2 linked regions of the Xenopus tropicalis genome follow. The protein of the gene in region 2 interacts with the protein of the main gene of each other region in a pairwise test. Links are inferred from orthologs where the notes say so. Each region holds a gene or a part of one and is shown on either strand. Other genes may lie near its edges.

Region 1 (5,032 bases), on a different chromosome or scaffold from region 2:
CCATTATCGGCCCTCCACCATGTAGGCCAGAAAAATTCCAGCCCTTGGTACCACAGAAGTTGGAAAGCACTGCCTTACACCATTCCTGTCACAGTGGGGATAGGGTGAACATGTAAATAAGTTGAATGGCCTATGCCTACTCCTAACCAACCAGTACTGTTTTCATAAGTTTGTGCTTAATATCCATTGCCCTTTTTAAAGTAGTTTGTTTCTGCCTTTTTCTTTACTAGTCAAGATTTCATTTTATATAAAAGCCCTGGAAAACAACCTACATATGCAACAGATAACAACTGGGAGGGAAAGGTGAGAATGAACAATTTGATGAATTATTATATGGACTTATTTAAAGGTACAGTACCCCAATATTTATTAAGTGGTTGAAGTGGTCTTGTGTATATTAAGTCTTCTGCACCCTCTCTAAAATACTTGATTTAAGGTTTACCCCCATTTTAAATCTAGTGGCTGCAGCTCTCCAAAAATAAGGGCTAAATCAAACGTTTTTATAGAGGCTGGAGGCTGAAGTCACTTACACCTTTACTGATTATTATGCCTGTGCATCTTTTTGCCAGAATATGCATTGCCTTTTAAGTTTCCATTAGTCTCTGATAAATACTTTTTTTCTAATTGGGTACTCATGAATGCAGTTTTTTTCTGTTCTGTTTAGATAATGTTATGTTGCTCAAGCAATGGGCATTATGACTCTGTATTTACCAAAGCATTCCAAGCTAATGCTGCTATATGTCAAGGTAAGTATATAAACTCACTTTCCTCACTTTTTTGTTTTGTCTCTCTATTTCTTTCTTTCTATACTCGGAAGCTGTGATTGTCAGTGCAGCTGTCTTTGGCAACCTGTAAATACAAGATTCCACTAGATGGTACTAAAAGCCAAGTAGAAGTCATAGATTAAATTTGCAGAAAACCCCTCTTGCTTGGCAGTATATTATATAATGCATAATATATGAGGTATGCAACACTGGGGCACTTGTCACCTCACTTAGGGGCAGATTTACTAAGACATGAACGCTCAAAGCGTTCGAACGCTCCAAGCGTATTTTCTCCAAATTTTTTAATGCCCAAGTGAGCCCAAGTGACTTTTTCGTACACTTGCGCAAAAAATTCGGAAAGGTTTTCCCACTTACAATTGTTCAGTACGAAAATTTCGTGACTTTTGGATCGCCAATACGATATTATCATGACTAATACGATTTTTTTGTAAGCATTTTCATGATATATGCGATCTTCAGAAACTTTCATATCCAATCTGAATTTATCCCATTCGGGATTTGAACTCACGTTTTTATGAATGTGCCCCTTAGTGTAGAACTTAAACCGCTATAGTTTTCTTAAATGGTCTGGCTTTTCAGGAACATTTTGTACCAGAATTAGCCAGAATCATTATGCTGCCTCTTTGCTCAGTGTGGAAATCTGCTACTATGTTGCTATGGCATCTATTTAGACTTGATACTTTTCTTTCACAATTGGCCCTTGTCAGCTGGCTGGTCCTACTAGTGCAGGTGTTTAATTAAACAAATAATGAAAAATGCTATTGTAAGCTACTGTATACAATAAAACGTTCCCAATGGTTTGAGTTAATTGTAATTGAAATCAGTATTTATTTGTCCATTTTTTACTGCTGGATTTCGCTCCCGGAACATTGTAACAAAGACCAGCTCTCTTCCATGCAAGACTTCAATTTCCTTCTGCTGCATTGTGTAAAGAGTCAGAACTAGCAGCGCAGAGAATGCAAATGGACAGATAAGAACTGCTTTCAATAGCAATCACATTTGCAAATATCTCCAAAACTACTGTACATTATTTAAGTTGTTTAGAATAAAATTTTTCATTATGCAAAAAAGAATACTGAGTACAATTTCCATTTTGTAGATCTGTTGTAAGAAGTTAATTTCTCCAATAATGATGATTTGTCATAAACCACTAATAATAAAAAAGGCTCCTCTGAATCTCTTAGACGATAATAAAACGCTTTCCTAAAATACACGACATACCAAAATCATGGTATTACTCCTGATGAAGGACATTAGGTTGTAATTAAGTTGACATTTGTATTAACTTATTTCCCAATTGTTGCAAAATCTGTTTTAATAAATTGCTTGCCTACATAGCCGTTCTGTATGAGTGCCTATATAGAGATGTTTTTGGTGTGGATGAAAGAGAGCTGCTTGCAGCCGTTGATCTCTTCCGAAGTGGTACAAAGAAGAATCGAAATAGTGCTTCCACTGGTAGTGAAGATGCCAACTTTGACTGCTCTCCAGAACAAACATCAAAACAGTCGTCTGATAACAGGTAGATATCTATCTCAGCTTTTAGCCATACTGCCTGACCATCTATAGCAGGTCGGGCATTGGTTTCAACAGACCATCCAGCAATCTTGTTGGGACACATTTGAAGTGCCTAAAATGCCCGAAGTGCTGATACATTTTTCATAGGTACATCTTTGTTTTTTCTGGCACCAAGATGTTAATTTGTTGTTTTGCTGAATTAGGAAGTAATATTAATTTGTTTTTTTTTTTTCTGCAGGGTTAAAGATTGGGAAGTTAAAGGTGGTGATAATTTCTTGGATGACAAATCCAGACAAACCACAGATGACGTAAAGGTTATTTTTTTTTTTTTCTTTATATATATATAAAGGTATTGGTTCTAAGTTGAGATTATTTTGGAATTCGGAAGTTCCTTAGAAAAATAACTTGAAACATTATTTTAAAAAATAGCATTTTTTTGCAATAGATATATATGCCAGCTCATGCGTTAAGTCTGCATGTTAATGTGAATCTTCTGGTCTTTGCATGCCCAACAACCTTGCCTTTTGGAAATCAATGACATTTATATCACACCCTGATTCTTTTAGCGCGACAAACTATTCTGCCTCAAAATCCCCTAAATATGGTTAGCTGGGGGTGAAACAGTCCTGTAATAAGTAATTTGTGCTGTAAGGTCAGACAGGGCCTCAAAATACATAAATGTATCTTAAAGGTTAACATGTCATAATTGGTGCTTAGTGATGTAATTTCTGTAGGACAACTCATTGAAATTTGTGTATATTATAATAAATAATATCCCCCTTTATAAAAGCACTCGGCCTTGCATGTACAGCTAGGCTTAGCTAAATACAGCTGTACTTGTCCTTGGAAATATAGCATAATGCTCAACTGTCCATGTACTGTAAATTGACTTTCTAGTAAGTCTTTCAGCTGAAAATTGTGAATATTTTAGATACTGTTTGATTTTTGAAACCGTTTGTTTCACATTTATTAAAATAGTAAAATGCTCACGTCTAAATTTTTTTTTTTTTTTTTTTGACAGTCCACAGAAAATCCTAACAAGATGCCCTTCCCATATAAGGTTTTGAAAGCCCTTGACCCAGAAATCTACAGAAATGTAGAATTTGATGTCTGGTTAGACAGCAGAAAAGGTACATTTTTTCATAAATGCATGCATACATACATGCTGCAAAGGCTCCCTTTATGTTAGTCTGTGACATTATTAAAGTTGTAAAGACACACACAGTATTTTCACAGCACTGGTATAATTAAGTTCAGTTCTTGCAGTGCAGTCCTTTCATTAGCCAAGAACTGTAGTTTCTAAAAGTTTGAAATGATTAATTTATATAAAATGTATCTCTATTTATAACTCTTAAGTAAAAAAAAATGTAAATGATATAGTGGAGCTAAGCAGACCATGGAACTGGCAAGTATAGATAGATATATTAATAGGTTTTGCAAAAACATAATTATATTAAGTTGAATGTTCTGAGGCTCTTCAAGTTTTTTTTGTTTGTTTTTTTAAATTCATAGCTTACCACAAATCTGGACTATGGGACATGTTTGCTAAAGTGTGATTTTTCTCCTTGTCCAACTTTACCAAAGTTTGCCTTAATTATCCAGTTATATTTTCACAACATATCTCCTACATACTCAAAATTGTAATAGAAATGTGCCATAAAGAAATGTGCTATAAATTCCCCATAGGAGAGAATTGTTGCCTTGAAGAAATGAGGGGGAAATAGCATGGAAGAAGGTAATGTAGATAATGAAATGCAAACGTTGGCTGCTCTAGCTTTATAATGGCAGCTTGTCAGCTTGATCCTGGAGAATTTTTTCTAGAAAAAAATCATCTTTGTACTCTTAGTAAATTGGTCCACTGGTGAAATTTTGTCTTGCAAAAATTTGTGAATTTTCACCTATGCAAAGAGAATGTTTGCCAGTGCAAAGTTAATTTGCCAAAAATTGTTGTATTCAATTTTTAGTAAATCGCAGATCTCTTAGAGACTTATTATTTTTGGAGAAAATCATTTAACTGCTAAATGTTTTATAGTGTGATTGTTTTGCAGTTCTATTATTTTACATAGCTGAACACTTTGTCCTTTATGCCCTGCCATTGTTCTGAAATGCCTGCTTTAATGTTCTTGAATTAAGAAATATGAATATCCGAAACTTAAATGTGGTACAATTTCCCTTTGTAGAACTTCAGAAAACGGATTACATGGTGTTTGCTGGAAGACACTATTGCTTAGGTGATAAGTGTCAGGTAAGATTTTTCTTTATATATATAATTTTTTATTTATATATGAAAGTCAGTCAGTTGGTAGCCCGTGTCTATATCTATACAAATGACAGAGAAAAACAGTATCCTTAAACTATATACTCACATCTTTAAATACAGCCATATTTATAGAGTCTTTGGATGATTCATGCTGTGCTTTCTAAAAGAGAGAAAGATAGAGGAATTCCATAACATGCCTCATACCTGGGCTAATTATATTTATTTATTTGTTTTGGCAGCTCACCTTATTACTATGCTGTATGTGTTTGTGTGGTTACATATGTTAGTAATAACCTTGAAAAGACAAAAGTGTATAACCATGATAGCAAAAATCAAATCATAAAACAAACCTAGTTATGATTACCATAATGTAATTTGCTTTTTTTCATTATTTGAATAACAAAAAAAGTTGTATGGATTGGTATGAAAGTCCTGAGAATGGATACTACTTGTTCATCTCTCTGCTTTATGC
Region 2 (5,032 bases):
TCTGAAGGTGTGACGGTCTGGGGTGTCTCAGGGTGGTATGACTGATAAGGAGGTCTTTGTCTGTTGTAATTAGATGCCTGTGATGGATCCTGAAATAATAAATAATAATAGTTACCAAATCAGTACATTTAAGAAATGTTATATACTGCTGCTAATTTATATAGTTAATTCAGCAACTACCAGCAATAAACAAACACATACAATATCATATGGAAGCCAGGGCAAACTCCCAAAATTCAAGTTATGGTTCAAAAACTTGAGTTTTTGGTATTTATTAAGTGCAAAAATTTTAATTAAAAATTCGGCAGCCAAAAGCTTGAAGAAATCAATGACAGTTGTCCTAGGCAAAGTCAAGAGATTTCAGAGTTGTCTGTGTTTTTTGTAAACTTGAAAATTCAAGGTATTCCAGTTTTTTTTATTTGATCTTAATAAATAAGCAAGCGTTCGAGTCTTTACTCAAATTAGAAAAAAAAACCCTTGAATTCACAAACTTGGAAATGAATAAATAAGTCCATGTTTGTGGCACAGCAGAAACACGGAGGAGCATGTCCCTGAAAAACCATGCATCTGCTATGCCATAAGCATACTTCACTTTGGAGTAAAACCTGGGATTACAAAAAGAGCTATGTAATGCTAGCACAAAGTTTGCCCTAGTTATGTAACCATGGAAACCAGTCAGGTGTTTGTATTTATTATTTTAACAGCCGATGAGTTGCTGTGGTTTTCTGTGCCAGTGACTTTACCTTCATATAACTACATATCCCCTAAATGCCATTTGCAGCTTAGAGTCTGTGAAAAGCAGCAGCACAATAGATCCAAGCTGTGGCTAATGCCTACTTCCCTATAACTACCAGCGAGAGTGCCAGCAACACAGATTCTACATGTTTACAATTTTATGTAGCTCCACCTACCTTTATATCATACGAAGCATTTGGTATGTCTGCTCCAGGCCACCCTGCTCTGCCCCCAGGGACATAATGGCTGTTGGCCGGATTGTGGTGAGCAGGAGGAGCAGTGGGCCAATGGTAAGGGTTGGGGACTCCATAAACCCAGCCTTCACCTTGGGGACTGTGCTGAGGCATTGCTGGTTGGTGGAGGCCAGAGGCTGCTTCTCGGTACTGGTAGGCAGAGACTGTCTCCTGCTAAAAACAAATTTTTACATTAGTTTATTGGTTTGATTGGCTGGTCCTTCTAAAGGTCTGAGTATTGTAAAATGTGTTGTTTCTTGAAAGTAAAGTTCATTTTAAAATGAACAAATAGTAGTCAATAAAAGTTTGCCATTGTTTTATTTTATATTATATCTATATCTACATGGGTATATATTCGAACAAAATGGGCCGCTCCACACAGGACTTATGAGAAAACAACATAATTTATAAGAAGTATAACAAGACTGATGTTTCGCCTGCTCCTGCAGAAAGAACATCAGTCTTGTTATACTTCTAATAAATTACGTTGTTTTCTCATAAGTCCTGTGTGGAGCGGCCCATTTGGTTCGAGTATCTATTTAGAAATTTGAGGACTGCACCCAGACAATAAGAGATGTTTTATCGTGAGTGCCTACCTGTTCGAACTATATATATATTTTTTTTTTCACTTCCTTGTTCTGAAGCAATCCTGTTTACCACATAAATTACCACATAATAGACTGCTATTAAGCAACCACACAGGAAGAATATGAAACATCTTAAACAAAAGAAAGGCATAAAAAAATGAAATCTAGCCTCATCAAGCCTCCGATAACCGATACAGGTATGGCACCTACTATTATTTTAACTAAATACACCTTGAAGCAACTTCCAAATTATGCAGAGTGTTTGCTACCTGCCTTACCAGGGAATTGTAAAAGCGTCTGTATCTGATATATTACCAGATGGTAGATTCTGAACCACCATATGGCCACTGGGAATCCCTGTGATGTCATGAGCAATGTCTGGGATGCCCCATTCAACCACCAACTGCTTCCCAATGTAGATCCTTACTGAATGCACAATGGAAGGGGATTCCTTTTATTATATATTCCATCTACTCACCTGATGAGGAGCATATGGTGAGTATCCCTGCGGATGTTGGGAGACACCATGATAGCCATGTTGAGGAGGGTAACCCCACTGAGGCTGTGCCTGAGGGTTCCCCCCCGACTGCTTGTAGGGATCGACTGAATAAGGGGGTTGTGAAGGAGGAGGGTAGTATTGATTTGGCTGGGGGACACAAGCATAAGGGGGATTCATAGAGCCTGGGGCATAAGGAGATGCATAGGAGCCATTTGTGTAGGGTTCCATCCTCTGTACCTAGAAAGTAGTAGAAGAAAAGTCACCTATGCAGCAATGAGGTTTTAAATATGAGACCCAAGAGTCAGTGTCTTAAGTCTATATACACATACCTGATCTCTAGCAGGGTAGTTAGTGGGATATGGGTGCCGTGGATGGCCAGAACAGGACCAGTTTGGATTGTAGCCGGGATATGATGAGTTCTGAAAGATTTGAAAAACAGAAAAGTGCCATGTGGTATGAGATATATATGTGTTTGTATTAGCTGTGGGCTAAATATATTACAGAAACAGGTGCTGCTCTCCCCCAAAAATGTCCCATAACTATCTACTTATTGTACTATAATTGAGTAGGGCTGGCAAACGCCTGAAATGCTTTAGTGTTGGAAATGCTAGAAACAAACATTTAGTAATTTGTGCAGTATCAGGGCTGACCTAGGTGGATGAACGTAAGGAACAAATAGGAATCTGATCTTTACTTGATGGACTGGGTACAGAAACAAAGTGTGTCCTTGCACTTGTTACTTGTATTCACAGTGTGCTAAGTTTGAGGGCACCTTGAACGCACCACAAGCAAAAGGCCAAAGACATTATAAAGTACCCTACATCCCACATGGTGTTTGGTCTACCACTGGCATCCCATAGTAAACAGCAGCAGACAAAGTGCCCCTGGCTCTCACTGCTACATGTGCATTCAATGGGGTTCTTTACACTTTCTAGTATCAGGAGCAGTGACAGGCAGACAGGGGCATTTTGACCTCTGCTGTTCTCCACTAGGGGGCAAAGACAGTCGCAACATCAGTGTGCCATTGCCTAAGTTGCACAACAATGACGTAACTGGCATTACAAATTCACAGAGGCCCCCCGTCAGCCCAATACATAGTGACTAACTATGGCATCTTACAGCAGCCTATTTGGCATCTGCCAGAATCTACAGATTACTAGTCCAGACCTGGTGTGTATGTTAAACTGGGCACACCTTAAGATATTGTGTAGTCTGCCCAAGCAGAAGATCACTCTAAAATTAGTATCTATCCCTCATCATTAGCCAACAAATGGAGTCAAGGCACCTAACTAGCAGTCCTGCCATCTGCCAGTTTGGTCAAACATGGCTTGAAGTGACCACCAGATTGGTCTATGTGTGTATTGCCTTAACGCCCCAGATTGATATAAAAAAGGGCAAAAGGAATGCGCATCAACCCCCTGCTACAGCATGAATGATTACATATACAGACAGTGACAAGTACTGTACCTTACCTTAGCAGAATTAAGAGAAGAGCCTGGATCAGCTCGAGCTGATTTTAGAATAAAGTCTCCGTTTATACTACCTGGAAATGCTGCCTTTGTCACTATGTAAGGGGCTGAGTTAGGGCGAGGAATTGCTAGTGAGTCAGAAAAATAAAATGACAGGCAAAAGAACGTGCCACAGCAGGAGCTTCCCTTACGTCATGCACTTAATGAACACATACTGACGGACATTACTGTACGGCTTTTGTTTGCTAACTACACTGTAATTAAACATCACAAGGGTGGATTCAGTGCCGATTAGGTGATCCCAGCTTTAAGAATGTGCTTCATGCCTCCAGCTGCCATTATATGAGCAGGCAAAGAGCGGCCAGGATCTGCTTGCCACTGCCACCATTTGTTTCAAGTACTGTTGCTTTAAGAATCCAGACCAGATAATGCTAGGCTACAAATCACAAGAACCACTGACCCTAAATAATATGCCAGGGTCATTTTATCCTGTTATATTTTATTTCCCTATGTATATATCTCTTTTAAACAGTATATTACACCGAGCAATGGCGACTTTTTAAAGTTTTATGTGGTGTTACTTGCTGAAAGCCAGTTTAATTAGCGACAGCCTCTACATGAGTAGATAAGTCTATGTTTGCCCGAGGACGACTGGGGAAGGTAAGAAAACATGGCACTTTTTCCCTAAAAATATATTTAAATATATATATTGCTAAGCCAGAAAACAACAGTGGATAAATCACCTGTCAGACTGAGTGTGTCTGAGCAAAGGCCTACACTCATTACTGACCGTAACAATGTTTTTTTTTTTAACTCCCTGTCTTGGCACTGTAACCCTTACAGGGCACTGTTAACTACCCGAGTGTGCCAGTTGTCTTTTGGCGACACCAGGCTCCTCCAGTTCTACATTGTCATCCAGCCACCTCTTTCTTGAATGTTCCAATGAGCGAAGGCCTACAGGCAAAGACAAGAGGACCTCTGCACTCAACCACTATCAATAGGACATTAAAACATTCTGTGCATTGAGCTACCAAGCAATGCCCCCCCCAGGGATTGTTTTACCATATATTGCAATATACTTCAAGCTGGTTGACTAAATCAAAGTCATCCCCGTCCTGGCCAGTCCTACATTCATTTTTATCTAATTTCTGTTACTTCATTATACATTTTTCACAGGGACTAAGCTTTTTCTGGTTGCTTTCAGTTTTAAAACTCCCAAATGGTTGCCCTTTTTATTGGCCCCACTGGGATCAACTGACTGTAGCTGGGAAGGGTGGGAGCTACAACATGGAGCTAAATTTGTAACCCATTGGGGTGCAATGAGGCTGTGACCACAAAATATACATACACAGCAACAAGAGGTCCTCTACTCTCACCCATTTTCAATATATATAGGACATTAAGACATTCTGTGCATTAGGCTACCAAGAAATGCCCTGCCCTTTAAGCAAAACATGGATGTTTGTCCATATATTAACAAGTCATTAGGGTTTAGGAGACCGTCTCATA

Evidence for each region.
Region 1: the proteins of bag4 (region 2) and alg13 interact in binary tests that used the Homo sapiens proteins (3 or more experiments, as listed by UniProt). The link is inferred for Xenopus tropicalis from reciprocal best matches to the Homo sapiens genes BAG4 and ALG13.

What each region holds. Positions count from the first base shown.
Region 1 is NC_030684.2:51,806,181-51,811,212, forward strand, and holds part of alg13 (putative bifunctional UDP-N-acetylglucosamine transferase and deubiquitinase ALG13), read left to right. Parts: intron 1-230; coding exon 231-303; intron 304-664; coding exon 665-746; intron 747-2,123; coding exon 2,124-2,304; intron 2,305-2,538; coding exon 2,539-2,614; intron 2,615-3,321; coding exon 3,322-3,430; intron 3,431-4,480; coding exon 4,481-4,545; intron 4,546-5,032. UniProt on the Homo sapiens protein: Catalytic subunit of the UDP-N-acetylglucosamine transferase complex that operates in the biosynthetic pathway of dolichol-linked oligosaccharides, the glycan precursors employed in protein asparagine (N)-glycosylation.
Region 2 is NC_030679.2:132,223,734-132,228,765, reverse strand, and holds part of bag4 (BAG family molecular chaperone regulator 4), read right to left. Parts: intron 2,474-5,032; coding exon 2,384-2,473; intron 2,292-2,383; coding exon 2,034-2,291; intron 1,143-2,033; coding exon 912-1,142; intron 90-911; coding exon 1-89. UniProt on the Homo sapiens protein: Inhibits the chaperone activity of HSP70/HSC70 by promoting substrate release. Prevents constitutive TNFRSF1A signaling. Negative regulator of PRKN translocation to damaged mitochondria.